Rattus norvegicus: one gene and its partner. The protein of the gene in region 1 interacts with the protein of each later gene in a biochemical or structural test. Links are inferred from orthologs where the notes say so. Each region holds a gene or a part of one and is shown on either strand. Other genes may lie near its edges.

The links.
Region 2: the proteins of Lyn (region 1) and Faslg form a complex in vitro, tested with the Homo sapiens proteins (2 studies listed by BioGRID, with this or other methods). The link is inferred for Rattus norvegicus from reciprocal best matches to the Homo sapiens genes LYN and FASLG.

The regions. Positions count from the first base shown.
Region 1 is NC_086023.1:21,504,992-21,519,916, forward strand, and holds part of Lyn (tyrosine-protein kinase Lyn), read left to right. Parts: intron 1-1,397; coding exon 1,398-1,443; intron 1,444-2,157; coding exon 2,158-2,263; intron 2,264-4,256; coding exon 4,257-4,355; intron 4,356-4,460; coding exon 4,461-4,564; intron 4,565-5,714; coding exon 5,715-5,864; intron 5,865-7,487; coding exon 7,488-7,640; intron 7,641-14,747; coding exon 14,748-14,925. UniProt on the Homo sapiens protein: Non-receptor tyrosine-protein kinase that transmits signals from cell surface receptors and plays an important role in the regulation of innate and adaptive immune responses, hematopoiesis, responses to growth factors and cytokines, integrin signaling, but also responses to DNA damage and genotoxic agents.
Region 2 is NC_086031.1:76,688,894-76,704,331, reverse strand, and holds the start of Faslg (tumor necrosis factor ligand superfamily member 6), read left to right. Parts: upstream 1-8,828; 5' UTR 8,829-8,901; coding exon 8,902-9,240; intron 9,241-9,926; coding exon 9,927-9,972; intron 9,973-13,918; coding exon 13,919-13,975; intron 13,976-14,981; coding exon 14,982-15,376; 3' UTR 15,377-15,438. UniProt on the Homo sapiens protein: Cytokine that binds to TNFRSF6/FAS, a receptor that transduces the apoptotic signal into cells. Involved in cytotoxic T-cell-mediated apoptosis, natural killer cell-mediated apoptosis and in T-cell development.

The DNA of each region.
Region 1 (14,925 bases):
GCCACATGTGAAAAACACATGCTCCCACTGGATCACAAAGGGCTCTGCAAGGAGGTAAAGTGGAACTGCTCAAGAAAGAGCTAGAGTGATAGCATGGGGCGTCACATGTATGTGTCTTACGAAAGTGCTTTAAGATGGGCTGGAGTCCTGCGGTGCACACATCTCAGGACCAGCCTAGCCAGCCATATAAAAATGTGCTCTGCTGTATTGTAAACTAACCTCTCTGGTATTTGCAGATCAGCTTGCTGCTTTCAAAATTATTTAATCTCTCACCTAATTGTTTTCTCTAAATCATATAAAACAGAATGCAGTTCTTAATTATGCAACTTACATGACTAAAACAGCAGTATAAAACTGCTTTAAGTCTTGAATGTCAGTATGGACCAATGATTGCCCGCTTCTCCAGTCCTTTCGCTCAGTGTATTTGATTGAGATTTTATGGGCTCGCTTTCAGGAGAAATTTATATTTTAGTATAAACCACTTTGGTCAGTCACCTTTGATGAAATGACTACTCGAGGAGAAGCAGAGGGATGAGATGTTTAAAATCAGGGCCCAGGCAGGATGTCCTTAGAGGAGGTCACCAGGCCTTACATAACCCCTAGCAGTGCTCTTTGTGGAAAGGCTTCGGAATAGAAGGTACCTGGTGTGAAACACCCTGCTGCTGCCATAACTGAGGGATACCCCTGGACGCTGGACAGACAGCCAGACAAGAAAGCCTGAGTCGGTCGGGCTTGTGTTTGTCTGTTAGTGACAGGTCTGATCAAATGTGTAAGTAAGTTCAGGAAGCATGGAGATGAGCAAGTGACGATGTCTGTAAGTCAGCAGGGTCCTGTCACTTCTGTGTTTGGTCGTACTGGCCCTACTTACTATGTACCTTCCATAACTGCTGTGCCTCCAACATTTAGTTCTTTCTAGGCATTAAGAGGCACATTTTACCAAGGCCATACCCAACCAGTGAGCTTATGAAATGCTCCTCCCCACCACTGTGTAGAGGGCTGTGAGTCTAGAAGCAGACATCACACTGGGCAAACTGCCACCCCAATTATTAGGGTCCTGTTAAAAGCATGAGAAACAATCCTGGTGGGTTGTCATCTAGTCCCCATCTCAGGAAGCCCTATCCACTCGGTCTACTGACACAAACCAAGGGTTATATGTCCACGAAAAGCCATGAAACTGACTTGCAGGTAGGACCCTGCCAAAGACGTCATCGAGTGTGAGAGTCTAACTAGGAGCCCTGGCATCTCCCTATAGGATTTTTCTGTTTGGCTCTTCTTTCTCGTTTAGTGGCTGCAAATCTAAACCTCGCTTGTCACTGTTAGGAAAATGGCATGCATGTGAGAAGAAAAAAGAAAAACTATCATGACTTTTTTTTCCTCTAACAAATACTCTTCCGTAGGTTCCTGAATCTCAACTTTTACCAGGACAGAGATTTCAAGCAAAAGGTATGTTTTCCTTTCAACCTTATTCATGTTTTGTTTGTCGTTATGGGAAAATATATGTAACTCAAATTTATCACAGCTTCAGTGGTTTTTTTTTTTTCTTAATGTCGAGCTCAGAACAGGAAGTACGCATTGCTGTGCAAGTGTCACCAGTGTCCGTCACAGAAGGTTTTCATTATTCCGAGTGGAACACTGTCATTAAGCACTCACTCATTGTTCTCCACTCCCTTCTGCTCTGGGCAGCCACCATTGCACTCTCTGTCCCTATGGACTTGATTCTATGTAGCACAAGCAACTGGAAATATAGTCTTTGTCATTTCCTGCCTGGCTCGTTTGACTTGGTCGTCAAGGCTCATCTACACTCCATTGTGTGTAAGAACTTCAATGCTTTTTAAGGCTGACTGCTCTGTGTATGTGGATGTCCTATTCTGTGTATGTGTCACACTTTATGCATTCCACTAGTGCTCACTAGGGTAGCTTCTGCCTTTGGGGACTATGGCAGTGTTGCCACGATTACGCGTACATTTTTTCCTAAACATGGTTTTAAAGGTATAGTGGGTTCCTGTGGGTCTTGGTGTGCACAGGATGTACCTCATGCCATTTACAGGTGGGAAGCACGGAGCTTCACTCCACGGCCCTCTCTCCGTTGCTTCCTCTCTTCCTTTGTGTCTATGTTGCTAGGTTTTGAAGGGCTCTGCTTGTATCTTTTGTTCTTAGATCCAGAGGAGCAAGGGGACATTGTGGTGGCCTTGTATCCCTATGATGGCATCCACCCAGACGACTTGTCTTTCAAGAAAGGAGAAAAGATGAAAGTTCTGGAAGAGTAAGTATGCCAGCCCCCCAGTTGCTTCAGTGCCAGAAGGAACAGAGCAAAAAGAACTTCCCTTATGAATGTAGGGGTGAGCCCTTCCATCGTTTCTCCCAACAAGGACAGTTACTGTTTCTTTATTTGTCAAAATGCTACCTAAGAAGTTTGGCTCTGTGACATGCTACTTAAGACGGCCATTGTAGAGTTTGGGAGAGAGCTCAGTCATATCCTGAGTTAGTTCAGCACTTGCTTGTGGTGGCATATGGTCGGGGAGGTGGGACAGGCGCATCCCTGAAGGCTCTCTGGCCAGCCAGTCTAATTTGTCTGGCAAGTTCCAGGCCTGTGAAAAAAACCTATAGCTATACCTAATCTATACCTATTCCTATCTCTATACATACCTATACCTATTTTTAATACCTATACCTATCTATATCTACCTATAGCATCTGAGGAATGCCTATGAGGCATCTTCTGACAGGAGCACATATGTACATATGTAATGCATACCTACAAACACAAGTACACATTCATGAACATGTATACATACCACACACACACACACACATAATGCCCATCATAATCCCGTGACTTAGATAGGGTCATCTCCATTTTGAAAGTTAAGGTTCCCAGGAATAGACTAAGTGACTCTTCATGGTCTCAGAACTATCACAAGAAAGGGCCACGTTGAAATGCAAGTTCACCCTGATGCCCTGGATAGGCACTTAGCGCTTTATCTTCGGGGAGGGGCTATCCACTCTCTCGCTCTGTGGCAGGTCAGGGTCAGGGTGCTGCTTTATGCAAATTCAGTACAGAAAGGAAGTTAGACCTAAAGTGCTCAGACTTCCTTGTTCTCCCTCCTCACTGCCCTGGGGCCTGACCAGGGTCACGCGTGTGAGTCAACACACAGGGGTCAAGGAAACGAAACACATAAGCAGCTGCAGGGAATCAGTGAGGAAGCTGAGCCGGACTTTCCAGTGTGGCCGTGGCACCCCATCCTTAGAAATCGCACCACGTGGCCCATGAGCCCCATCTATGCTAAATAACCACCTTCCGTACTTCAAACCATCTCTGGACAACTTCTCCTGTCTAACACAATGTGGTTGTGATTGTTGTAGAAATAACCTTATGCTGCACTTGAATGGAGAATAATAAGAACCATAGATATAAAAGTTTTAGGTCCCGAGAAGGTTGCTCAGTGAGAGAGAGCTTGCCTAGCATATGCAAGGTCCTAGGTTCGATACCCCTACATGTCAAAAAAAAAAAAAATCCAACCTAAATACTTTAAATCTACAGTTTGCTCTGTTTGAAGGGGTAGCGTACGCAGGCTGCCTGTGGTTTGGATAAACAGTTCCCAGGTACAGCTCAGAGTTGGCTATGACTCTCTTTTCTCACAGACAAGAGTCTGATCTGTATGCAGGCATTTGAAGAGTAACATGGAGGCTTTCAAGGACCAATCACATACCCCCACCCATCTGGTTTGCTTGCTCCTTCTGGGCATGGCCCTTCCTGCTTCTCCTTCCTGCCACACTTTGGGTTAGTATAGCATTGTGCAGTACCACGTGAGGAGGCTTACTTCCTCTTAATTACTCTTGGTCTGTTTATTTATTTACTTTTTTATTTTTCTTTATTCATGGTGCCTATCTCTGGATAAAGTAGATAAAGTTTATAGCACATGAATTTTAAGTCTCTATTCCTTCCACACCCATTGCTATAAGGATCCTTTCAGACATTTCTTAGGCACCGGGGTAAGTGAGAAGTGTTTGGCGTCTTTAAGGTTGGCCATTTTGCTAGTTCTTTTCTATGCTGCACTGCAGGCCACATTGAAGTTGTAAGGATGCTTTTTTTTTTTTTTTTTGCTCCTATCACTAAATATATTTTTCTATGAAAAGGAATGCACTTTTCCCTTGGGTTCAGGGATTCTAGGAATGCTCCCTCTTGCCTTCACTCTGCAAAAGAAATGCCATAGGACCGTTGCCATTGCGACCATTAATTTTGATTTCTATTCCAGGCACGGGGAGTGGTGGAAAGCTAAGTCCCTTTCATCAAAGAGAGAAGGCTTCATCCCCAGCAACTACGTGGCCAAGGTCAACACCTTAGAAACCGAAGAGTGAGTCCTCTCGCACAGCCAGCTGGTGTTTCCGAACACGGCGCTGGTTTGCTTACATTTGTATCCCTGCCCAAACACCTATGAAATGTGAATATGTCTTCACAGGTGGTTCTTCAAGGACATAACAAGGAAAGATGCAGAACGACAGCTTCTGGCACCAGGGAACAGTGCCGGGGCTTTCCTGATCAGAGAAAGTGAAACTTTAAAGGGTGAGTACGTGGTTAGAGACCATAGAGACTTCTTAGGGCTTTGGGCAGTCTCCTTAGATGTAGCTCACAGGGCATCGTGCATGCTGGGTAAACATTCTGCCATCAAGCTACAGCCATACACACTGGAAATCATTTGAAAAAAATGATTCTGGAATGAATAAAATAAAGAATTCAGTAGGTTCTGGGAATGAAGGGGTGACTTTTGGGTTGGGTTGGGTTTGGATTTGGTTTTTCTTCAGTTTTGAGACAGAGTCTCCCTTTGTAGCCCTTGGCTTACCTGTAGCTTAATAGGTAGACCAGTCACTAGGTAGACTAGGCAGGCTGCCCTCAAATTCAGAAATCCCCCTTAAGTGCTGGGATTAAAAGCTTGTGCCACCACACTTAGATGGTTTAATTTTGAGGTTGTTGTTGTTGTTGTTGTCGTCGTCGTTGTTGTTATTTTTATGTGTGCACATGTATGTGTACATGTTATGTGTGCACATGTATGTGTACACGTGCGTGTGCCTGTCTGGCACAGTGCATACGTGGAGGTTGGAAGGCATCCTTGAGAATTAGTTCTCTCCCTCCATCCCAGGTTCAAGGGATTGGATTCAAGTCGCTTACACAGAAAGCTCTTTCTACCTGCCTAGCTAGCCATCGTGCAAACCGCTGACAGTAAAGTTTTGCATTTTGATAGCAAATGACAAACTCAAATGATAGACATTAATAAACAGAAAACAGTCTTAATTATGGCCAGGTCGTACTTACAGTTTTGTTGTGTTATTATGAAAGTGAGTCCTAAGTGTCAAGAGGAAACTCAAAACGATTTTTCTATTCAGTCAAATGACTTTGGAAAACCACGGTGAAGAAGGAAAGTGATATACTGGCTGCTTGTCTAGCAAACACAATGCTATTGTCATTGATCGAGTCCAAATTTTAAAGTACCTTTAATTTTCCCTTTTGAGGCCTTTGCTAGCCTGGAACTGGCCAAGATTCTCCTGCCTCTGCCTCCCAAGTGTTTGGATGAAAATCATCCCTGCACCCGGCTGCAGGACTTTCCTGTGATGCGTTTATATTTGTAATTTCGTTATAAAGTGTGTACCACAGTGCGGTATAACGTGGCCTTTATTAGTAACATGTAAGCACGCCTTCGCTTAACTTTTCCCCACAGGAAGCTTCTCTCTTTCCGTCAGAGATTACGACCCTATGCATGGCGACGTCATTAAGCACTACAAAATCAGAAGCCTGGACAATGGTGGTTATTACATCTCTCCGAGGATCACTTTTCCCTGTATCAGTGACATGATTAAGCATTACCAAAGTAAGTGAAAGCCGAAGGCCAGGAGAAGTTAGATCGTCTTTATGACGATTAATATAAAGTTTATAGTTTTTCTTTCCGTTGATGCGGCAGGTAGTACTCTATGAGCAGTTTTTCCTTAACATAGACACCCCTTGACTTCCAGTGGTCATGTGTTCTCATGCATCTGTTGTGAGCTGGCGTAAGTTGAAAGTACGTTTCACTCGCCTTGTCTTCTTATCACCCCGGCTTACTCGGTGAATGTACTCAGCTTCTTACGCGTCCCTACAGTTGGACAGAGTCTTTCACCCTCATAACCTCCATGCGCTATTGGCTGGAGATGAACACAGGCTGACTGTATAGGCGCGATTTCACACCGTGGTAAATAGAGAACATTGGGCAAGTAAGTGGGGGCTGTCACCACATTCACAGAGAGATTGCTGTGGGGCCTTCTTGCTTATTGTCAGTTACTTAACATCTAGTGCGTTTCCCTTCCTGTGGAGAAAAGTATATATTATTTTTACACAAGGCATACTCTTAACGTGTGTAGATATTCAAAAGACAAGCTGTACAGATTCATGTCTCTGAGTGTAATGCAAAAGGACTGTGTGCCCATCCTTCCTTCCATCATAGGTTCTAGGGATTGGACTCAAGTCGCTTACCCAGAAAGCTCTTTTACCTGCCTAGCCATCATGCAAACCCTCTGACAGTAAAGTTTTGCATTTCGGGAACTATGGCATATTTAAAAGTAGAAAGTCAATGCTTCGTGTCCGGTACCAGTGTCTGCCTTGTGAAGCTCACCTCTGTGGCCTTACTAAGTCCACTCATTTTGGCTGACATCAGATGTGGGAGCCGCTGTAGTGGGTTCCTCCTGCCTGCTTTAAGAGGCTCTATGACAAAACTCACTCACTGAGGGTCTACTTATGCTGGCGGTGTTAATGAATGAAACAAAATGTTTCAAATTGTCTTCCGATAATTTTTAAGGTTGGATTAGGCAAAAGGTATCCCCATTTGCATTTTAGATGGTGTCAGGTTGTATTTATAAAAATAACAGCGTATTCAAGATTTCCTACATAGACACAAAAAAGACCGTACCATATTGGTTCTGCATCAGAGATTTGGCCAGCCAAGAATCTTTAAATGTGTCTGTACTGAATGTGTACCCATGATTTTCTTGTCATTTCCCTAAACAATGTGGGTTACAACATGGTGTTCACATTGTATTTGGTAATATAAGTAATATAAGAATAATTTAAATAAGATAGATAGATAGATAGATAGATAGATATAGATATAGATATAGATATAGATATAGATATAGATATAGATATAGATATAGATGTAGATGTAGATGTAGATGTAGATGTAGATGTAGATATAGATATATGGAACTTTGTTATTTGAATTTAAGGGGACCCTGGCACCCATCTGCCATGGTTACAAACTCTATTGCTTAGATTACTGTTTCTCTTTCTCTTTCTTTCTCCTTTCCCTTCTTCCTTTTACATTTGCTGTGTGTGTATGTTGGGGAATCCAGGATTGAGCCTAGGTTGGTAAGACTTGATTGACAGCAAGCTTTCTCACTTACTGAGGCATCTCTGCAGCCCGGCACACATCCCTTAACCTTTGTTCTTCCTCTCACCTCAGAGCAGTCTGATGGTCTATGCAGAAGACTGGAGAAGGCATGCATCAGTCCCAAACCACAGAAGCCATGGGATAAAGATGCTTGGGAGATCCCCCGGGAGTCCATTAAGCTGGTGAAAAAACTCGGCGCAGGGCAGTTCGGGGAAGTCTGGATGGGTGAGTGTTCAACAGTGTCCCACTCTGGAGGGGATGATGAAGGTTTCTAACCTCTGCCAGCCACTGAGCCAAGCACGGGGCCACTCCGAAGCCTCATTTCTTGCTTTCCTCTCTGTCTTGGGCCAAATTCTGTCTGCTTAGATGCTCGCTCAATGCAGACAGATGTGGGACTCAATGATTCCTTTATCTTTTCCAGGTTAGGAACATGGATGCTTGCCCAAATCCTCTCTCCTCTTGCAGCCATCTTTCATTCTCTCACTCTGGGCAAACACTTGAAGTCTCAACTCAGTGACAGCTACACTCAGGCTTAGGACCTTTTTTGTTTCTTTAAATAATTTTTGAGATAATTGGCATCCACACGATTGTGTGAAAAAGCACAGAAGGAGCTGGAGAGATGGCTCAGAGGTGAAAGAGCCCTGGTTGCTCTTCTAGGAGACCTGGATCAATTCCTGGCATCACAGGGCAACTCTCTGATGTCAGTGACTGCAGTTCCAGGGCATCTGATGCCCTTTTTCTGCTCTCCTTGGGTACCAGCCATGTGCTTGTGTATTGATATACACAAACACTCAGACACATAAAATAACATTTTGAAAAGAAAGAAATGCCAAGTCAAAGCAAAATAGCAGTAACATTAAGAAACAAGTTCAACTGAGGGAGGGGGGGAGTGAGTGAGTACGTGCCATAAAAGCCTGAACAGGAACGTTTGTGACAGCATTACTCATAATATCATAATAGCAGGGAAGTGGTCTAGAACCTCAACGTTTATGAGAATAAAGCAGGAAAATTTTAAGTTTGGAGCCAGCCTGGGCTGCATGGCAAAAACTGTCTCAGAAACAAAAGTATAAGCAACCTGAATCTTTACCAAAAATGTAATGTACAAGCAAACATTGTTATAGTCACAGAATAGAAGGAGCTGGTGCACACGTACCATGGACAACCCCTTGGAAAGAGCTGGTCATGGGGGCATCGTTCTGTGTGCCCATAGAATATGAAGAGCCCAGAACAGGCAAAGCCACAGAGATTGAAAGTGGGTGCCCGGTTGCTGAGGGATTGATCTTTGAGAGTTAATGGAAATGTTTCAAAGTAGCTTATGGTAGTAACCTCACGACTATGACGAGCTGTGTGCCTGAAATGGACAAAGAGCCTGACATGTGAGTTCTGTTTCAACGACGCAGGCATGATGTGAAATAAACAATATAGTGAGCTTCTAGGCACCATTTAACCAGTCCCCCACAGTAATGTGTCTCAAAATTCTAGCAAAATATTACTACTAAAACAGTGACATCAATAGTGTCACTTACTCAACATTCATTCATTCATTCACTCATTCATTCATTCATCTGTGAGACAGTCTTGCTCCATATCCCCCTGTCTTATCCAGACCTCACTCCTGAGCTTGAACTCATATCGATCCCCCTGCCTAGGTCTCCTGGGTGCCAGGAGCCATCGTTCACCCAGTTGTTTATAAGTTTTCTTTTCAAGGAAGGGAGGGAATGAGAGGAAAAGGCAGGAAGGAAGAACAAGAAACAGAAAACATGGCCGAATCTGAGTTTGACTGTTGGTTAGGCATCTCCTTAGCACCTGGAAGATGTCACCCTGCTGAACTTTAGCAGGTAGCACTGGGAGTAAAGCCAAAAGGACAGTGAGTGACTGTGGGTGCTGCGTGTCAGAGTCAGTGGTGCCTGTGCCTCACTCCCGCGTGTGTGCACATCCATCCACCCATCCGAGCCTCCTCTCACAGAGAGACTGTAACACTGCCCAGGTTTCGTTGCTTTGCTTTGTTTTTTAAAGATTTTTTTTTTTATTGTTTAGGTGTATGGATGTTTCCTTACATGTATGTCTGTGAAACATTTGAATGTCTGGTACTTAGGAAGGTCAGAAGGGGGCATTGGATTCCCCACCCCAGCAGGAGTTACAGATGGTGGTGAACTACGATGTCAGGGCTGAGTATAGAACCCGCATCCTCTGGGAGAGCAACAAGTGCTCTTAACTACTGAGCCATCTCTCCAGTCCCGAGATTTAGTTTTTAATCCTCAAGGAACACGGGAACTACTTTTTCACATACAAAACAAAATCCAGCCAGTTAAAGTTATATCATCGTTGTAAGTGAGTAAATTATAATATCCATTAATCACGATGTGTTATTCACAGACTGCCTCTCACAATATAAGGACTGAAACACAGGGAAGAGGTCCTCAGATGTGACCTGCCCTTTGCAGGAAGAAGGCCTTTGGGATGAAAGCGAAAGTTGTCTCTGCGTCAAGCTGTTTCCTCCCATTTGTGCAATGCTAGCGTCTGCTGTGGGTGCCTTGCTTCCTCTGTGTATTGTTAACATTCCCAGAGATCTGACTGGACAGGGACGACGGGGAGGATGTGACTTCTTAAAGCTTGCTCTCTGGAAGGCTTTATTTTAAGGAATGAACATTTTTGAGTTTTGTTTGATTCAGTCTTTCGTTGGTTGGTTTTCTGAGACAGGATCTCACTATGTAGGTCCTGGAACTCACTATGCAGGCCACACTGATCTTGAACTCAGAACTCTGCCTGCCTTTGCCTTGAAAGCGCTGGGATTAAAGGCACACACCACCACTGCCTGGCTGTCCCCCACCCCCCTCTTTTTAGATTGATTTGTTTTTACTTCTTGTTTTTGAGTGCTTACCTGTGTGTATGTACGCTCACTGTGAACATGCCAGGAAAGGGCTTCTGTCCCCTGGAGTTACAGACGGTTATGAACTGCCACGTGAGCTGAGAATCGACCCTTTGCCTCTAGGAGAACAGCCAGTGCTCTTACCCTCTGAATCATCTCTCAATCCAATATATTCTTATTTAGAAGCAATTTAGTTAAAACTAATAATCAGCCAACTTCCCACATCAATTATATGCTTTTCTTAAAGGTAACTCTCCATCCTTTTGGTGGGTCTGCTGGTGTTCCAAAGCTGCGGACACAGATGTTAAGTCACGGCTGAATCCAAATTCCTTATCAGCATTTTCAATGTCTTTAGCAGCTGCGCTCTTTCCTGGCAACCTTTTGCTCTGCCTCTGGAAAGCATATTTTTCATCATTTCAAAGGATGTGAACGTTTCCAGGCTCCATTGTTCTCGGGTTGATGAGTGGGAGTGACTTTGTTTCTTTAACTTTGATTCTAGGGGATGTAGCATGTCCACAGAAAAGCTACAGCACGAATAGTAACAAGTATTTACAAAGTTCACAGAAAAAAAAAAAACTTGTCAGACCCTAAAGTTCCTCTTGTCCCTTCTCTATCCCAGCCTTACCTACCCCCAGGGACAGCTGCTACTCTGACCTTTGTCATAATTTCCTGACTTAAACCCACGGATTCTGGAAGTGGTGCTTATGCGTGCAGGCCAAGTCTTTCTATACATAGTTTAGTGCAAGGTCTTTTGTATATAGTTTGACTACTTTTATGTGTGGTACAGCATGTATCAAACAGACTACTCCAGCTTTGTCTGGGCTTAATATTAATGGGTCACACTGAATATATTCTTGAATTTCTTCTCTTTTATTAGACATTTTTAATGAATTCATCCATGTCTTGGGATGTCATAACAGTTAGTGCATATTTGTTGCTGTGTGTGTGTGTGTGTGTGTGTGTGTGTGTGTGTGTGTGTGTGTGTGTGTGCAACAGATATAGAATTTTCTTCTTTTTTTTCAACATTCACTGGTAAAATCAGAGTTACTCCTAAGTTGTGGCTACTGTGAATATTGCTTTGATTGTGGTTTTGGTGGTGCATGAATATTTTTTCTAGGAGTAATGGATTTGCTGGGTCATAAAGTACAGTCAGGCCTCTATGTCTCTGGAGTCAACCTGTGTTAGGTGGAAAATATTTGGGGAGAGGGTTACACTTATGATACAGGGTTTTCTGTTCATTTCTTTCTTTATACCTAAGCAATATAGTCTAACGACTATGTACGTAGCATTTGCGTTCACTAGGTATCTTAAGTTACCTAGAGGTGATTAAAGTATCCATGAAAATGTGCACAAGTTGGAAACAAGTACTGTGTCATTTTATGTGAAAGATATCCTTGGATTTTTATGTGCTCCAGGATCGTAGATCAATCACCTATGGACTGTATAGATAGACCAATCTCTATGGATTATATAAGAAAGACCATGGATGAATCATTGCCCTATTAATACTGTCAACAGGTCTCGGTTTCACCTGTTCATAGCAATACACAATATACCTTCTCCGGAACAGTGGACCTGTGCCTACAGCATGGCTCCAGAGCAGCACCGCCTGTGTGGTGACTCAGAAGGCTGCTGTCATCAACTTTTGTAGGCCCTTTGGGATTTCATCACAACGCTTTGTCATTAACATTCAGGGGTGCTCAAAAAAAATAGCCAAGGCAGGGACTGAGGGAGCAGCCATAGCGGCCCTCGAACCCCAGCATTTACCTACAGTCATCAACACACTTTTTGATTTCTGTCAGCCGGGCTGGTTTGGAGAGTTTCTTCTGCGTTTCTCTGATTACTAATACAATCAAATTCCTTTGGTTCATCTGAGCCATTGTAATCTCTCCTTTTGAGAATGTGCATCCGAGCGTTTACCTCTGCCTCTGGAAAGCATATAAAAGCTACTTAAAACTGATTTGTAGCAATTACAGATTCGAGATACTAGTCCCTTGTCGGCTGTATAAGTCATGGAAAATCTCGTGCTCTGCCCCTCCGTCTCTGTGTGTGCGTGGGGGTGGGGCGTGTCAGATATTGATACTGGGTGTCTTCCTCATTTGCTCTCCACCTCATTTATTGAGCCAGGGGAATTACTGCTCCTTAACCTAGTCAGACTCACTGGCCAGTGAGCTCGAGGAATCCTATCTCTGCCCCATCAGCACTGAAGTCACAGGGTTATGCCTAGCTTTTAAATGGGCGCTGGGCATCCAAACTCCAGGCTTCGTGCTTGCAGAGTAATCACCGCTAACTCCCTCCCTATTCCAAGAGTGCATTTTCTTATGTTTTTCTATCAGTATGCTCGTAGAACTGAGGGCTTGTCTATAAATTAAAAATACCATAATGGAATTTGTGATTGAGTGTAATTTATTTTTTATAGGTCTATTCACTTCATTTCAAGCATGAATGTCTAACCTGCATGTGTGTATGTGTAGTGCTGTGTGCAGGCTTTATGCTCCAGAGATCCTGAGAGGGCACTGGATCCCCCTGGAACTTGAGTGGATTGTTACTTGTGAGCTTTATGTGGGTGCTGGGAATCAAACTTGGGTCCTGTGCACGAACAACAGGTATTCATTACCTCTGCACACTTCCAATATGATTTAAAAGACTAATGGATGGGATCCATTTTACAATTGCTCTCAATGCAAATAAAGAGACACCATGTTCACCTTTGAAAGACAAGTGAATGTAATTTACTCAGCACTCTCTGATGTTTAAGAGGTAGCTTCTGCTTCCCTTTCTATCGCTGTCTTCGGTTTGCTTAAAGCTTATTTCTAACACGTTCTTCGCATTTCTCCTCCATGGTCTTACTTACACTTGTCAATCTTACTACACTATAAAGCATCACAGAGTATTATATTAAAAAAAGGAATTATTTTGATAGAGATCAGCCTCTGCCTCCTCTCTCCCCCTCTTCCTCTCCTCCTCCTTTCTTTGCAAGGCTGGGGATGGAGGGCATCAGGCACTCTACCACTGAGCTACACCCCCACCCAGAGAACTCGTTCTCAACGGCCAGAAGAAAATCACTGGCTACAGGCACTCCTAGAAATCAATGCTTTCTTGGTCTGCTTATTTCGAAAATACTTTAAAAATAACAATAATACTTCCTTCTGTGAAAAATAGGCATAATCATTGTTGATTTTAATAAAAACAGAAAAGATAAGAAACAAGTAGAAGCCACCCCAAATGCTGTCACCCAGAGCCACTGTCATGTGAGCCTGCTGCCTGCCACAGCTGACTTACTAGCCTGCGAAGGGGCCTGTCCACTCCCAAGCCATTGTCTGAAGGTGGCTGCAAAGGTCTGTCACAGCAGGTGACACACTAGCAGATCTTTAGGGTGCTACCAGCCGAACATCCCTCCTCAACTTTATTTTTCAAGAGACCTATGGAAACAGACGGAGAAAGGGGAATTTTGATTATTATTTTTTTTCTGCTTTGCCAAATTACCGGAAAAGAAAAAAGGACTTCCTTAAAAAAATACAGGCATTTCATTGAAGCAGTTTCCAAAATAGTGAGACCTTTAAAAGCTACATTAAAGAGTTGGCATTTCTCAAGGGTTTCCACGAGCCAGCGTTCCTGAAGGTGTGGGAAAGACCACTGAAGAAATCCAGGTTTCTTGCCCAAAGAGTGCCAGGAGAGGTAGCCAGGTGTGATACCTGCCTTCAGCATGGGCACTCGCCAGAGACCAGGCCTCTGAAAACCTTGGAAAATATTTCTTTGACCCTAGGGTATTATACTTTCAAGTGTGTATATAAGCAGCTTTTACAGGTCTACAGGAGGTCTTCCTGACCGCATAGCTGATATAACCCAGGCATGGAGACACACACTCAAGCCACAGAAACCAAAAGATGGGGGCAGGAGGAACACCAGAGTCAAGCCAACCAAGCCTACATAGTGTCCAAACCAAAACAAAACAAACCACGTACTTAGCCACTTTATAAAATTGTCTGCATTGTTTCATTAATAATAACCAGTGCTTAATGTGTGTTGATGTATTTTCTTTTACACTGTCCCTTGCATGTTCATTCTCTCTCTCTCTCTCTCTCTCTCTCTCTCTCTCTCTCTCTCTCTCTCTCTCTCTTTCTCATTATAAAGTTTTAATTTTCTTGTTTATTTTGCCTTGAATAACATTTTATTTATTAACTAGAGGGAAATATTATTCCTCATGGTAAATTGCATATAGAGTTTTCACAACTATTGTTGTATAAAACCTTTTAGATTTTGCAATAAATATTAAGCATTCCGTAAAGGAGTACAAAGAATTCCCACAAACCCTCCAGTCACTGTGCCCTTGGTATTTAACACCACAGTATGTTTTATCTTAAGCTTCCTGTCTATAAATAAGCTTCCTAGCGCCACATTTGGGAAGCACAGCACTTGGGTTCTGCATTTGACCAGCATGCTCTGCTCTCGGTCCTCTCCAGGTTACTATAACAACAGCACAAAAGTGGCTGTAAAGACCCTCAAGCCTGGCACCATGTCTGCTCAAGCATTCCTGGAAGAGGCCAACCTCATGAAGACCTTGCAGCATGACAAGCTAGTGCGGCTGTATGCCGTGGTCACCAAGGAGGAGCCCATCTACATCATTACCGAGTTCATGGC
Region 2 (15,438 bases), on another chromosome or scaffold:
CCAATCCTTCCAGAAAAGTCAGTTCACTAATCTGACGGCCCCCTCGTGGGGTCTAAACTCTTCTAACCATCCTTCCATATTTTCAATTATACAAGTATCTTCCAGTTTCCCCCAATAATAAAGTTAGTTATGGATCTAACTTTCTATTTTAGAGATCTCCTCTTGTGGGGCTCTCACCATTGCTCACTGACCAGTAGATCCAGTTATTTCTTCCTCTGTCTTGTTCCTTGTATTTTCTGTCTATCTCCATCCTTAGTGACCCAAGACCAGTGTTCCTTTTCCTTGGGGTCGGGGGTGGGGTGTCTCCAACTCTCTTAACTACAAAAACTTCAGGTTTCTCAAAATCATTTCCTGCTTCAAATATTTCCTGGTCAATTTAATCACCATGAGTTGGCTAAAATTTCTCAGAGAACAATTAAGGCCTTCAGCCTCCACATCCAGAACCCCTTGTTCTGTTATGCTTGGGTTGACAATTTGAATGGCCAGGGTCAGAGGAGTTTGTTCCTAATAGACATCAGAATAGTTTCCTTCTCTAGTAATGCTCTCAATCCCTTTCCCAGATTTTTTTTTTTACCAGAGTTATATGTGAGAACAAATACAGTATAGAAAAAGGCAAGAAAAGGCAAAAAGAGCAAGGCCATCTGTATCCTAGAAAGCCAGAGATGTATTATTCATGTTGGCATTGCTCCTCTAGTTGAAATGGTGTCATACAGCCACATTCACAACTAAGTCGCACACCTGACATTTTCTCCTTTTCAGTTACCTTTCAATCTCCACAATCAATGTCTCTTTCTTCAGTGCCTCATCTTTTGTCCTCCTTGATCCTCTTTTCCTTTCATCCACTTCATCATCTCACCCTTTACTTATCCTCTACCTCAACATGGAACCATAGTCTTTGGAGACAGCAGGAATCTCAGAGACCTTTTGTACAGTTCTGTGCCCGGAACCTTGTTGAACCACAACATCTCTGGTCCTTGGCATGTGTGAGACAGGGACTACTCAGAGGAACTCATTCTCTGTGTGCCATTCTTTGATGATTACGACAGTGGAGACCCAGTGTCAGAAGCTGTATTTCTCCAAGCCCTCAAGTAACTCAGTCTAGTGGAGCTGCCTTTGCGGTCTGGTTATATAGCTCTATTCGTAGAGTTTGCACAACCCAACAGTAAGTGGTAAGTTGTTTGACCTCAGCCAAGGGCTAAGAATTGATCTCAGGAAGCCCTTGGTGAGGATTTCCTGTGAACCATCTGTAAGAGATGACAGATTCTAAAATCCCACACCTTGAAACATTCCCCAGGAAGATGCTTGAATTTAGAAAGGAGAAGGGAGTTCCAGTTACTTGGGGGGTGGAGTGTGAGACCGTGGGGCCTTTGAAGTAGAATGTACTGGAGGAGGTGGTTCACTGTGGGGCACAGCTTTCATAACCTTGCTCAACTTTCTTGTCTATTCTGTGTTTTTCTGACCACAAATGTAATGTGACCAACTACTGTCACCTCTGCCAGGATGGACTGTATCTGACTTTAAGCCCCAAACAAACAAAACCGAAATCCTTCTCTTAGGTTGCTTCTGGTCAGGTGTTTACTAACAGTAAAAAAAGTAAGCAACACTTGGGGAGCTTTACTTTCGAAGGCACCCTGAGAGGATGTGAGACGCTGCAGGGACGAGAAGACAGGCATGAGAAGAAGATGAAGTCAATGGGTGTAATGAGGTCTACTACAAAGCCCTGAATTCATATTCAAGTCCAACCATCTCATGGGTTCTTTAACTTCCCTGAATCATTTGCCAAGTGGGGATCATTATACTTACCTGAGAAGTCCCTTCGAGAATCAAATAAAGTTGCTTGATATTGTTCCTAGAAAACTTGGTGTGTGGTAGGCACTGAATAAATGCCTCTTTCTTTCCACTTTTCCTCTCAATCTAGTCCAAAAGAACACTGCATTCATATTTGCTCATGAAAACCATAAATGGTCAGGAGAAGTGGAGAGAGAGGGAGGATGACATTAGAGGCACTCCCAGTTCCTTAAGACCCCGGGGCTGTCCTGCCTGCCCTTGCAGCGTTCATGGTGTCTTAGGTATCCTAGATGCTGAACACATACGTGGCTGAACTTGAGCAGAGACCAGCTGCTGGGTGTTTTCATTTACAGACATTTCTGATTTTGTGGAAAAGCACTAGGAGACAGGCCAGGTTTTCTTGCTGATTTTTTCCCTTTCTGCCTGTGGGATCTTGGAATCTTGGGGGAACCCTCTTATGTTTCTGAAGCCCAGTGACTGTCTTTGTGAAATAAGGGGCAAGGCAAGAAGAGAAAACTCGGCAGGTAGAACCCACCTACTATAGTACTCTGACTTTGGACTTCTGGTCTACCAAACTGGGAGGAAATGTGTTTCTATTGTTTAAGTCACCAAGTCTATGTTTTATCCAAAACAGAAGCAGTGGCAATAATTTTCAAATTTGGCTCCTGGGAGGGATCTTATTCATAAAATAACCAACTACTAAAGCAGGCTCTAATTTCCCTATTTTTCCAAGGTCTGTGACAGACAGCAAGTAAACCTGTGACAGAAAAATTGCGTGCTTACAAGTGATTTCTCATGAGATTACCTTAAGGTTGGGAAGCTCTTGAAGCATCCAGCTGCATGCCCTACACAATATCTGCAAAGTACTCAGAGGAAACAGTGGGTGCCAGATGCAACGACCTTGACATTTAAGTCAGCCTCTGGTGAGTATACTTCCCACAAACCCATCGTGACATGTGTTTTTCTTTTTTTCTAATGTAGAAGTTCAAACATCAAAAACAGTCCCATAGAAAGGTGCCTCAAAATAGGTAATAGAGCACAGGTATGCCATCCCAACACCTGGGAGGTGGATGTGTAGGAACTGGGAGTTCAGAGTTACTGTTGACTACATATGCAGTGAGTTTGAGGCCAGTCTGGAGTACATGACACACTGTCTCAAAAATACGTGCCCACGAGACGCACATATTTCCAGTCTTACTAGATACTTATGAGGTGTGCCTCATACCCCGCCTCACTTCCTCTATAGGTACTAGACCCTTCACCCTTGAGAGGCACTTGAAAACACTGCTTATGAGCTAGTTTTAAATATTCTTATGATCATTCTCACATTAGGCCCTCTCTGGGCTATCATTTTGGCTCAACTGTGAACTTATGGTGTGACTGAAGCCTAGATACCTCAGGGCTGTGGAAGTAAAGAAGTTCAAATAAATATAGAGTTCATATTTTACCCTAAGGTCAATGAGAAGCCACTGATATTGAAATGGTGCCGCGAAAAGATATTAAAATTACAAAGTAGCATAGAATCATATGAACCAACTTAGTGAAAGGAAGGAAAAGTCAGTGTCTTCAGGCTTCCACAGGAGAGCTACCAAGCAACTCCTAACATCTGGGCACGTAGAGTACATAGCATTCCTGGCTGATGTCCTGTTCCTGACCTGGGACTCTCTTGCTTTCACCAATCAGCCAAGGATCTACTTATGAATTCAGTGATGGCGAATTAAGTAGATACAAAGCACAACATACAATTTGTTAATACTCAGGAGCATCTCCACCCTTCCACTCCCCCCACCCCCACCCCTGCCTCCAGGAGAGTAGGGCCAGAGATGACAACCATCATTCCCATTCTCCATTACAAGTAGGATACTAAGTAGAGTTCACTGGGAAGTGACAACTGAGTGAGGGTTAGAAGGTGGGAAGGAGAAGCTGCTGCCCTTGACAGTAGCTCCTAGAGGACAGCTAAATATAGCAGAGGCCACTGTGGGTGTTTTTCTACATTCTTGGGGCCCCCTAACCATCACCAGACTCAATGCTGTTAGGAGCTGGAAGTTTTGGTTGTATCCCTTAAACGTTTTAAAAGTTGGCCTTCATAACCTTAAAAACAAAACAAAACAAAGCAAAACACTTAGCCTTTCATTATATTAAGTCTTCCATTGCTCCTCATAGTTTGAGTAACTTTCATTTCCCCGACCAGCCCTGACTGATATCCATGAGCTGCAGAAGGAAGAAAGCAAATAGTTCTGAGAAAACAACAATACTGTCGCATGTGTTATCAAGGGTTGAAGAATAATTTCTACCCATCACTACTGTCATCACGGCCCGACCACAGCCCTCTTCAGTCTGGTGTGATAAGAAACACGTTACACTTACCACACCCTCTTTCTTTTGAGGAGTGAACCTATCCAATTTAAAGTAAGGCAAGGTCTAGACATTCACCTACTAAGTTGCAGTAAACAGTGTTTTCTGACTAGTAGATTTTCCTGAACCAATTGGATCACGTCGGTGGAAGTAAAGAGGGATAGCAAACAGTAACAGAAAGAAAGAGTGCAAGTCGTTGGGAAACAATGCCCTTGGCTTGAATGCGTCCTGTTTCTGTCACCAGGATTCCCTCATTTCCCTGGCTCACCTATGAAGAGAATATGTTAATATGTTAATACGTCATTCTTAACAATGACAATGATACACTTCCTTGTCCAGCACTTCTCTCAGGTTGTTTCAATTGTAGTTACTAGTCTGTGGGATGTTTTTCAAACATGAGTGTTTTCTCTGCTAACACATGTGGGAGATTAAAAATACGCAAATAGGGTTTTTTTTTTTTTTCAGAGCAAAGAGAAAGATTTTGCCTAACGGACTGTCAAAACAGTCAAGACATCTCTAAAGTTGCTGGACATGATGGTGAGCATCTGTTATTCCAGAATTTAAGAAAAGGGGGTAGGGGGATTGCTACAAGTAGGAGGCCAGCCTGGGTATATACTGAGTTGGGAGTCAGCTTGGGTACATAGAGACACTCTGTCTCTATAAAGGGGAAAGAAATCCACATCTATAATGCCATGATGAGGGCTGCATAATTTTTTTTTAGGTCATTAAACTTTTATTTTTTTTATTAACTTGAGTATTTCTTATATACATTTCGAGTGTTATTTCCTTTCCCGGTTTCCGGGCAAACATTCCCCTCCCCCCTCCCCTTCCTTATGGGTGTTCCCCTCCCAACCCTCCCCCCATTGCCGCCCTCCCCTCAACAGTCTAGTTCACTGGGGGTTCAGTCTTAGCAGGATCTGGGACTGATTTTTAAGGGGAGTCTGAGTTGGGATTTTCCTGCCTCTGAGGTTCCTGACACAGAGAGGAAGGTGTGGCTGCATAATTTTCTTACCAGGAAAGATGGACGGATAGATCAAACAAAAATGAGAGGTATAAGATGTCATCAGTGGAACCATGGTAACTATGCCACAGTGGTTCAGTAGAAGAAACGAGGGAGGGATGGGCTTGAGGAAATCAGTTCATACATAGTACAAGGTGTGCACTTCCGAAACTTCTCTTTCTTATTTTTAAGTATGTATGTGCATGTGTGTCTTACGTGTGGGCATGTGCTTGTGAATGCAGCTGCCTGTGCCTGGGAGGCCAGAAGGGGGCACTGTGCACTGTGGAGCTGTAGGTAGCTGTGAGCTGCCTATGATGAGTTGGGACTGAAGTCAGGTCCCCTGCAAAAAAAGGACATGGTCTTAACCGCTGAGCCATCCTTCTGGCTCCTGGTTTGAATTGTAGAAGTCTCCTTAGAGCTCAAGCATCCAAGGCATGCTCTCCAATATAAGAGGGCTTCTAGGAACCTGGTAATTAGATCCTTAAGATTCTGATCTCATGAACTGACTAATCTACATATGCCTAATAGGTTTGCGGGGAGGAGCTTTGTTATAAAAGCAAGCCCAGTGCTGGTTAGCTACCATGAGGTGATCAGCTCTGCTCTACAATAAACCCCTCCTATGATGTTCACCCATGCCACCAACCATGCACTGAACCCCCTGATGTCATGGGCAAAATCAATCTTTCTGTCTTCTAAACAGGTTTCTCTCAGTTCTTCTGTCATACACATAGAAACGGAAACCTAAAGAGAGACTCCAGACTCATAAGCAAAAGTGAGGTCGGGATCTTTTAAAACCCACACGTGAAGTCTGTATGGGTATGGGAGAAGACATTGCAATGTCTAAAGGCAACCGTGTGTGTGTGTGTGTGTGTGTGTGTGTGTGTGTGTGTGTGTGTGTAGTATAAGAAGATCCTGAAAATCAGAATGGAGGGGGTGTGAGGTTTGAATAGGTTTGGCCCCTGTAGATTCATGTGTTTAAATGCTTGGCCACAGGGAATGGCACTATTAGGCGATGTGACCTTTATTAGAGGAGGTATGGCCTTGTTGGTGAAAGTGAATTACTGGGCTTTGAGGTCTCCTATGTTCAGGCTTTACCCAATGCTCCTCCTGGCTGCCTTCAGATCAAGATGTAGAACTCTCGGCTCCTCCAGCACCATGTCTGCCTGCACGCTGCCATGCTTCCTGTCATGATGATAATGGGCTGCACCTTTAAAACTGTAAGCCAGCCCCAGTGAAATGTGTGGCTGAGTAAGAGTTGCCTTGGTCATGGTGTCTCTTCACAGCAATGAAACCCTAACTAAGACAAGAAGGTAAACACCTTTTAAGTGGCAAACAGAAAAATACACTCGACAGGAAAGTAGATTGCCCCAGAAATATATGACTGATATTCAAACTCACAAGAAACAAGTGAGAAAGCAGCTCATAGACAGTGAGGTTCTCTTTGTAGGTATAATGCTGGCAGAAATCGGAAAGGTGGGTAGCATTTTACAAAGCAGAGATAAAAGCAGAGGCTAGGATGGTCCTTCATTAGCTGCTAGAGGTTTTAAGGGACTCAACTGAGCATCCCTGGAGGTACTCAGAGAAGTTGAACTAGTGGGCTCTCGTTCATAAATTCACAAACCCAAACTTGGGATGTGCTGTGTGGTCTTTGCTCACGTTTGAGAAGTTCCTGTCTGAGCTGTCTGTCTGCTTGGCAGATTGCCTCAAAGGGCTTCCCTAGGCTCATTAAGGTAAATAGCAGATTTCCTGGCTCTGTGTCACCCTCTGCTGCTCCTGAGTCACCCCTGGAGCTCTGGCCTGTAGTCTATCGAGCCAACTTTAAGGCTAATTCCCTGGAGTCGTAGGAGTAGGAGGCTGCAAGGACTCGATTTGAGGTTCCAGAAAGTAGAGGCCACCAGCCTGTTGGCTCTTGCACTCCATTTGCCTTCAGCAGCTACAGAGCTACGTTCTACTTAGAATGGCGATTTCTTTTCATTAACAAGGTCTCAGTACCAATGCAATGGCTCCCCGAGTCTGTTCACAGGGGTGTTTATTCTTTCTCAGTCTTGCCACTTACAGAACGGCACTACCAAACGCCAACCGAGTTTCCACAAGTTTCTCTCTTGTCTCTTTCAGCTAGGACTCTCTCCCTGGGATTGGTGGACTCTAGTAGGGGTTGGATATTTCGAATCCTCTATGGAAAAAAAATGATTCAAAAGAGGGACAAAGAGATGTGGAAAGACAATAACTGAAGATGCGATAACTGAATAAGGCTGGGAGCTGAGGTAGAAAAGCCAGGAGAGACTAATCTGATACCAGGAGAGCAGCTGTGGGAATAATGAAGGAGGGGAAGATGAGAAATGTGTCGCAGGTGAGAAAAAGCAGGTCTGGCTGGCCGGGGGCAAAAGGAAAGAGCAGCCTGAGCTTGCCAGCAGCAGAGTGACTCAGGAGAATTAGCAGCTGGGGCGGATCAGGATGAAGGTAGCAGAGATATAACACTTTGGGAGTTTTTCAGCATAGGCGAGAGAGGTAAGGTGCTCATCCCAGACATCCCAACGCAGAAGATAAAAACTAAAACCTCTTAAAGAGTAGAGTTGCCCCCCCCCCAAAAAAAAGGTGGAGTATAGGAACTTACTGGGATTTGTATGGTTTATATGGGGAAGTGATGGGAACCAAGGCTGAGTTCTTAGAGGTTGTTAGGCATACATAAATGCTGTGTATGTGGGGCCAGAAGACTGAAATCAAACCTAGGGAGTGGTCAGTTTTTAGAAAGGCATAAATTTGCTGTAAATGTTGAGTAATGCTCAGTCTGTCCTGTGCGATGCTTAAGGTACACTTGCTATAGAAAAGAATTATTTACCGCTTACCCAAACTCTTCTGAATTAGGCACTTCAAGTTTCATTTGGTAACCAGAATAGGGATTGTGAAGTTAAATGATTACAGAGTAGGAAGGGGAAGTGGGATAGGAGGCAGGCGCAGTGGGGGCAGGGCTGCCTGGTGTTCAGAGATGGCCAGGGGATGTGTCCTACTCTTCTGTTTCCAAAGAGAATAGAAGTACGCATTTTTATTGCGTGCGATCTCAATTTTGAAAGAGGGCAACTAAGGGAACCAAAAACATTGGTGATAGGAAAGCAATCCTGTGGTACCAAGGATATATGGGCCTGGTGGTGGTTTGTAACCTCTGATCCAATCTGTGGAATGGGTGGGGCGACTTTTACCCTCTCAACTATGAAATGGGGGCTCGGTAGAGGGAAGGACAGCAATTGAGGATTAAATTCCCTGTGCTCGGATTGTAGAGATCGCTTCCCTAGCCAAACGCCTTGGTCTTTTCCCAGTGCCTTAGCACCAACAGCCCTCACAGGACACACCCCATAGCACAGGTCTTGCAGCTGTGGAATAGCTAATGTCCTCTAGGGGTATCCAGCGCTGATTTGCTGAGTGGGACCTCAGGCAGGTAAGCCTGGTTTACCAGTGAGCACAGAGATGCCAATTGGAACTTCGAAGAGTTTTCGTCAGAAATTTGTGGGCGGAAACTTCCTGGGGTTGCTGTGAGCTTTTTTTTTTCTTTTAAGGCTTCTCAGCTTCAGATGCAAATGAGTGGGTGTCTCACGGAGAAGCAAAGAGAAGAGAACTGGAGAGAGGTGTTTCCCTTGACTGTGGAAACTTTATAAAGAAAACTCACTTACCTTCTCTGGAGCAGTCAGCATCAGAGTCCTGTCCTTGACACTTCAGTCTCCACAAGACTGAGAGGAGGAAACCCTTTCCTGGGGCTGGGTGCCATGCAGCAGCCCGTGAATTACCCATGTCCCCAGATCTACTGGGTAGACAGCAGTGCCACTTCTCCTTGGGCTCCTCCAGGGTCAGTTTTTTCTTGTCCATCCTCTGGGCCTAGAGGGCCAGGACAAAGGAGACCACCGCCTCCACCACCACCTCCATCACCACTACCACCGCCTTCCCAACCACCCCCGCTGCCTCCACTAAGCCCTCTAAAGAAGAAGGACAACATAGAGCTGTGGCTACCGGTGATATTTTTCATGGTGCTGGTGGCTCTGGTTGGAATGGGGTTAGGAATGTATCAACTCTTTCATCTACAGAAGGAACTGGCAGAACTCCGTGAGGTAAGTCTAGCACATGGGTTAATAGGCCCTTGAGTTCCTGGACTCTGCTGTGTGGGAGTAGGGACTTGCTATGGCCCATGTGGGCCACTGTGTTGTTTGCAATGATTTGAGGTTTTTGCTGTTGTTTTGTTTTGAATGGCAAAGATCTTATTGATCCCCTCGCTTTTAGAAAAGAGTTGTTATAGTCTCTTCTTTCTAGTTGGAGAAGCAGGCGTTCACTCCCTCAAAGAGAGTGATCCTCACTCAACCTGTGGGTCATGACCCCTTAGTGGGGGAGCCATTTTATGGCTGGGGGTCACCACAACATGAGGAACTGTATTAAAGAGCTGCGGTGTTCCCTTGAGAACCACTGCTCAAAGGAAGTTATTTTCCACCTTCTAGACAATTCGAAGCAAATAATTATTCTTCTCTCACTTGTCAATGGTGTTTGATGAACTTTTTATTGCTTCATATTTAGTGATTCAAGGAAGAAGATAAACTTTAAATCTTGTTCAGAAGTGTAAATAAATCTCTTTGAAAAGACTTAGAAGCCTTACTATAACTCTAGATACAATTGCATGGCCAAACTCTAACTCAGTCAGGGTCTGACATATTTGAGTCCTCTTTCTATGGACTGCTGTGACTTCTGCCTCCTTGGCTTAAATAACTCCACATTTATTCTATGACTCTTTTTTCCCCCCCACTAGTTCACCAACCACAGCCTTAGAGTATCATCTTTTGAAAAGCAAATAGGTAAGTACTTTTATGTCTGTCTTTTGAGTTCCCGGAGGAACTCAACACTCAACAAAGTTGTGAGGATGCTTGAGATTCCGTCCCATTCTTGGGCTCATGATTCCTAGGCACAAAATCCTGAGGAACTTTTAACTCTTTGTTCAGTGTGAAAAGGTAGTTTACTGCTCAATATCAGTGTATCTGAATGAATATCGAACGTAACTCAATAGAATTTGGACTTGACTGGAAAGGAGCACACATACAGCCCTGGATCTTTTCCCTTGGCTCCTTCCATGGATATCTTGGTCCCATCTTACATTGTGGTGACTGTGACTCCTAAGGACAGAGGCAAAAATACTAGATGCACAATATTAGACCAATTAGGTTCAATGCCCAGCTTCCCTGGTATGAAACTGGGGCTAAGAGAACAGTCCCCTGACGCCTTGCTATCTATTAAGACTTTACAACGCACAGAGAAACTCCCACCTTTCAATAACGGCTGAGAAATGAGAAGCAAATGCAAAGCTGGTGTCTCTTGCAAGGGCAACACAACAGTTTTATCCTAATAACTGAAGAAAACCGAACCTTCCATCAAAAGGAGTGCTGGCTCCACACTCAGTGCGGCTTGGTCTTCATGTGGGTCCCTCAACAACTGGAGTGGGGGCTGTCCCTGAATCTGTTGCCTTCCTGTGGATCCCACTCCCCTAACTGGGCTGCCATGTCTGGCCTCAGTGGGAGAGGATGTGCCTAATCCTGAGTGACTTGATGTGCCAGAGTGGATTGATATCGGGGGGGGGGGGATGGGGGTGGGGGTCGCTCCCGCTTCTCAAAGGAGAAGAGGAGGGGTAGGAGGAGGGACTGTGTGAGGGAGGATGGGGGAGTGGCTGCAACCCGGATGTAAAGTGAATAAATAAATTAATTAATGGAAAGGAAGGAAGGAAAGAAAGAAGGAAGAAAGAAAGGGAGGAAGGGAGAGGGAGACGGAGAGGGAGAGAGAGAGGGAGAGAGAGAGACAGACAGAGAGAGACAGGAAGGAAGGAAGGAAGGAAGGAAGGAAGGAAGGAAGGAAGGAAGGGGATATAAGCTCTTTCAGGGGTCACTATGGTGTGCTCTGGTTTTCAGCTCTGCATTCAAGTCTCTAAGGACCAGAGCCCAGTTTACACAGGCACAGTGGAAAATGACTTGTTAGAAAAATGAAACTTCTCAGGATTTCTGAAATGAAATCATTTTGAAAATCAGTGGAGCGTGGCTTATGAAACAGATGGCACTCACTCATTTTCACCCACTCGATGGAATCATTTTAGTGAAGAGAAGTCAAATGAACAGATGAGTCAGGTCGCCTACCCAGTGGTTATCTTCAGAAATTGATAAACCATCACAAGAACGTCAAAAATTGAAACTTTACTATTAAGAGGAGCTTATTTAAAAAAAGGAGTATTTATTTCTTCAATCAAATTCATAAAAAGAAAAAAACCCCAAAGATTATCAAATGAGAGAGAGAGAGAGAGAGAGAGAGAGAGAGAGAGAGAGAGAGAGGAAAAGCCACGTTTGGCACAAGTTTCATCCAGCATGCATGGAGATTGCTGTAAGAATTCTGAAGAACACTAAGAAAGTTCATACCGAGGTCTTGAACTGTCAGTCTACCTTGTCATCGCATCACCGAAGGGTTCTTTTGGCTGGGAGTGTTCATCGCTTTCTGATAAAACGACAACCGTTTGGAAGAAACCGAACTCTCAGAGTAGAAGATGAGTTGAATACACTTCGGCACATCAATAGGGGAACATCACGAACAGCAACCCAAACCACCTTGTGAGACTTTTAATGCCATGAATAGCATATTCTTCATACTGTTAGGTAAACAGACAAGTTATCAAAGGCCATTTTCAGTTTAATACTCATTATGAAAGTATGCATGCATGTTTTTAAACTTCTAAGAAAATACTTTTTCTAAACATTTTTTTTCTTGTGTGTTTACATACACAAGCACACATGTATAACTTGTGGGAATAAGTTCTCTCCTTCTCCCTGTGGGTTCCAGGGATCACACTCAGGAGCTCCGACTCGGCAGCAAGTGCCTTTTCTCACGCAGCAGCCATCTTTTTATACTGTTACCTTCCCCGTGGTTAGCTAACTGGACATCTTATGTATCTACAAGGTTTTTAGAGAGCCTCCTATGACAGAGGCTGAGTCTTGGTGATTGAGGATGAGAGAGAAAGACGGATGCCTTTTCTCAGCAAGCACAGTAGAGAAGAGGAACAAACACGAACCAACAATACAATTCCAATCCGTACTAAGAAGGATGCAGAGTAGAGCGGTCTGGGAAAGTCCTTTATAGAGTGGTTTGTGCTGATGCACAAGGGATCAATCAGACCCCTCTTCTCTTGGAGGGAAGAGGTGTGCATGGTCAGGGAGCAGAGAGGACATTCCACATTTCACATGTAAGGAGCCTGAGGCAGGAAAAGTCTTTCCTTGTATTTCTGGATATTGCTAGAACCTCTCCGGCAGATATTTATGGGAGTATATTTTATGAAAGTAACATTATACTAGATTGTATGAAGAATTTAAAGATAAGCAGCGTGTGGTTCCCAGCTTCATTTCCTGTTAGTGTGTGGCAGGTTAGCTGTTCAGGTGGTTTGTGGTGTATAAAAGGTCTAGTCTTGCCTATCCTGTTCCTCCCTTTTTTTCAAGGGGGGCTGGTTCTAGGTGCTAGAGAGGACACAGTTGTTTCTATGATGATCTAAATAGACCGGGCTATTTTCACACTCAGTGTGTGTTTCATAGTCTACTTCCAAACCTGAGGTGGACAAGTACCTTCCTATAAATATTTTTTAATGTATCAGTTAGCTGAATTCATGAAGCCCAGTACGAGAGTTCTACCTTAGCTGAAGTATTTGAAGTTAGAGAAATAGTGTTCATTTTTAAGAATATTATAAATTTTAATTACATCAATTTAATTTACTAATGCTATGCTAAACAAGGCTAAATGCTCTTGTGACTTTACCATATTGTAAAATACCAGTAGGGAAAGACTTGGTGGCCAGGCTCTCAAAGCCTAGCAGTGTTAGTACTAGTTTAGTCATAAAGTGTTTATTGCAGAAAGGTGCAGTTTTCCTCGACAAGAAGGAAGGAAAGACAAGTTTTTTATAATTGCCTCAGTAAGGAGAAGCCAGAAGTATTAAGAAAGGAAAAAACAGAGGGATTTTTGGTTTCGAAGGTTGAACGGTCATAGTTGACAAAAGAGCAGTGAAGATCGTCATTAGAGAATTGACGGGAATTTAACCCTGAGATCTCATCTGGAGGGTGTTGCAGACAGAATGAGCAAAGGCCCAGGGGCAGGGAAGAAAGGACATAATCAGGTCACAGGACTCCTGCTGTGGGCAAGCACTGGGTGTGATGACGGAAGGGAAGTGAGGCAAAGGCAACCTGGACAACCTCATGATCTGTGAGGAGGTCTTAATAGAGTCCATGTGGGGATAGATGTAGGCTGATGGTCCGGAGGGGAATCAGTAGTGTTTTCTAGACTCGTATCAGTCAGCAGAATCAGGGGATACAGAACCCCAGATTAACAGCCTGGGTGCACATTGATTGCCTCCATCATTATAGTCAGTCAGCTTCTAGGATCTTTTGCCAATCATAATTAGGGCAGTAATCTTAACCTAAAGGGGTCAAGGCAAGCTCTAAATGGAGTGACAGTTAAGCTCTACCTAAGTGTATTCACTGCTTTATTGCAATGCAATTTAGGCATATATCTGCCTTTCCCCTATCTTGTCTTTTTAAACAGTTTTTGAAATACAGACTCCTGTGAGTCTCCCAGTTTAGATTTTCTCGGTGAGTGTGTACTAGAATATTTCATCTTAGGCTCTGAAAATCTTATATTTAAATGATGGGATTTGTAGTCCCATTAAGATAGTAGGTGGTCTCTCTATCACAATAATTTTCACATGTCTTTTATCTCTCTATTATGCAGCCAACCCCAGCACACCCTCTGAAACCAAAAAGCCAAGGAGTGTGGCCCACTTAACAGGTTTGTGTCTGGAAGGAGTGGGTGGGGGACAGGAAGCCTTTGGAAAAATGTGGACCAACTGCTCATTTTCCATTGCAGCTCTTGGAAAGTATGACTGACAACTGTAGTTATCACTCAAGATCGTTCTTTTGTCTCTTGGATCTCATGACCCTAATCTGACAAAACCCACTGCTATGGAATTGTGTATGATTTGATCTTGCCCATGCAAAGCATATACTCCTTTTAACCATTTCAAAGTCCGCGGGGGGGGGGGGGACTTGTGATGTAGATCCAATGGGAGCAGCAGACGGTGAAATGATGATCTATTTCGAGCAAGAGGAGACAGTCTTGGCATTTGTGGGCTTTCAGCCTAAGATTATAAAGTGAAAAAGTGGTTTAGTACAATTGCTATGAGCCCCTCCACTAGGAAAATAAACATCCAAAATGTGGGTAAATATCACAATAAGAGGTCTAGCATGGCTCTTGTAATCACTTGGAGACTTTAGAGAAGTCTGGGTCTATAAACACTTATTGAGTACTTGCTGTGTGTTGGTCCATTTAATCCTGTATGAATACAAAGGAAGGGGATTAATCCAAAAGAAGAGGCCAAGGAATCCATACTAAATGAATGGACTACATAATCATGAGACTTTGTCCAGATGTAGAGCTCCAGAGATCCCTTTCTTTATGGAGGGGTCCCTAAGCCCGGAAGTATTGGTACTAGTTTAGGTCATAAAGTGTTTATTACAAAGTACTGAAGTTATCCTAATAATCTTCCCCGAGTTTCACTTGAGGCACACACCGAATTTGTCCTAAACACATGGATGATTAAAATGAGGTGGGGAATTTGACAAATGTGTTGAAGAAACTCAGCGGTGGACCATGTTTTAACTCCTAAGTCACTCGCATCAGCTGTCATTCTGGTTAGAACTTTTGTTAAGGGAGGCCCCACAGTTTTGCCTTGGAAGCTTAGAGTGTCAGATATGTGAACATTTCTGGCTGAATGCTCCTCTCTGGTTTATTACAGGGAACCCCCGCTCAAGGTCCATCCCTCTGGAATGGGAAGACACATATGGAACTGCTTTGATCTCTGGAGTGAAGTATAAGAAAGGCGGCCTTGTGATCAATGAGGCTGGGTTGTACTTCGTATATTCCAAAGTATACTTCCGGGGTCAGTCTTGCAACAGCCAGCCCCTAAGCCACAAGGTCTATATGAGGAACTTTAAGTATCCTGGGGATCTGGTGCTAATGGAGGAGAAGAAGTTGAATTACTGCACTACTGGCCAGATATGGGCCCACAGCAGCTACCTAGGGGCAGTATTTAATCTTACCGTTGCTGACCATTTATATGTCAACATATCTCAACTCTCTCTGATCAATTTTGAGGAATCTAAGACCTTTTTTGGCTTATATAAGCTTTAAAGGAAAAAGCATTTTAGAATGATCTATTATTCTTTATCATGGATGCCAGGAATATTGTCTTC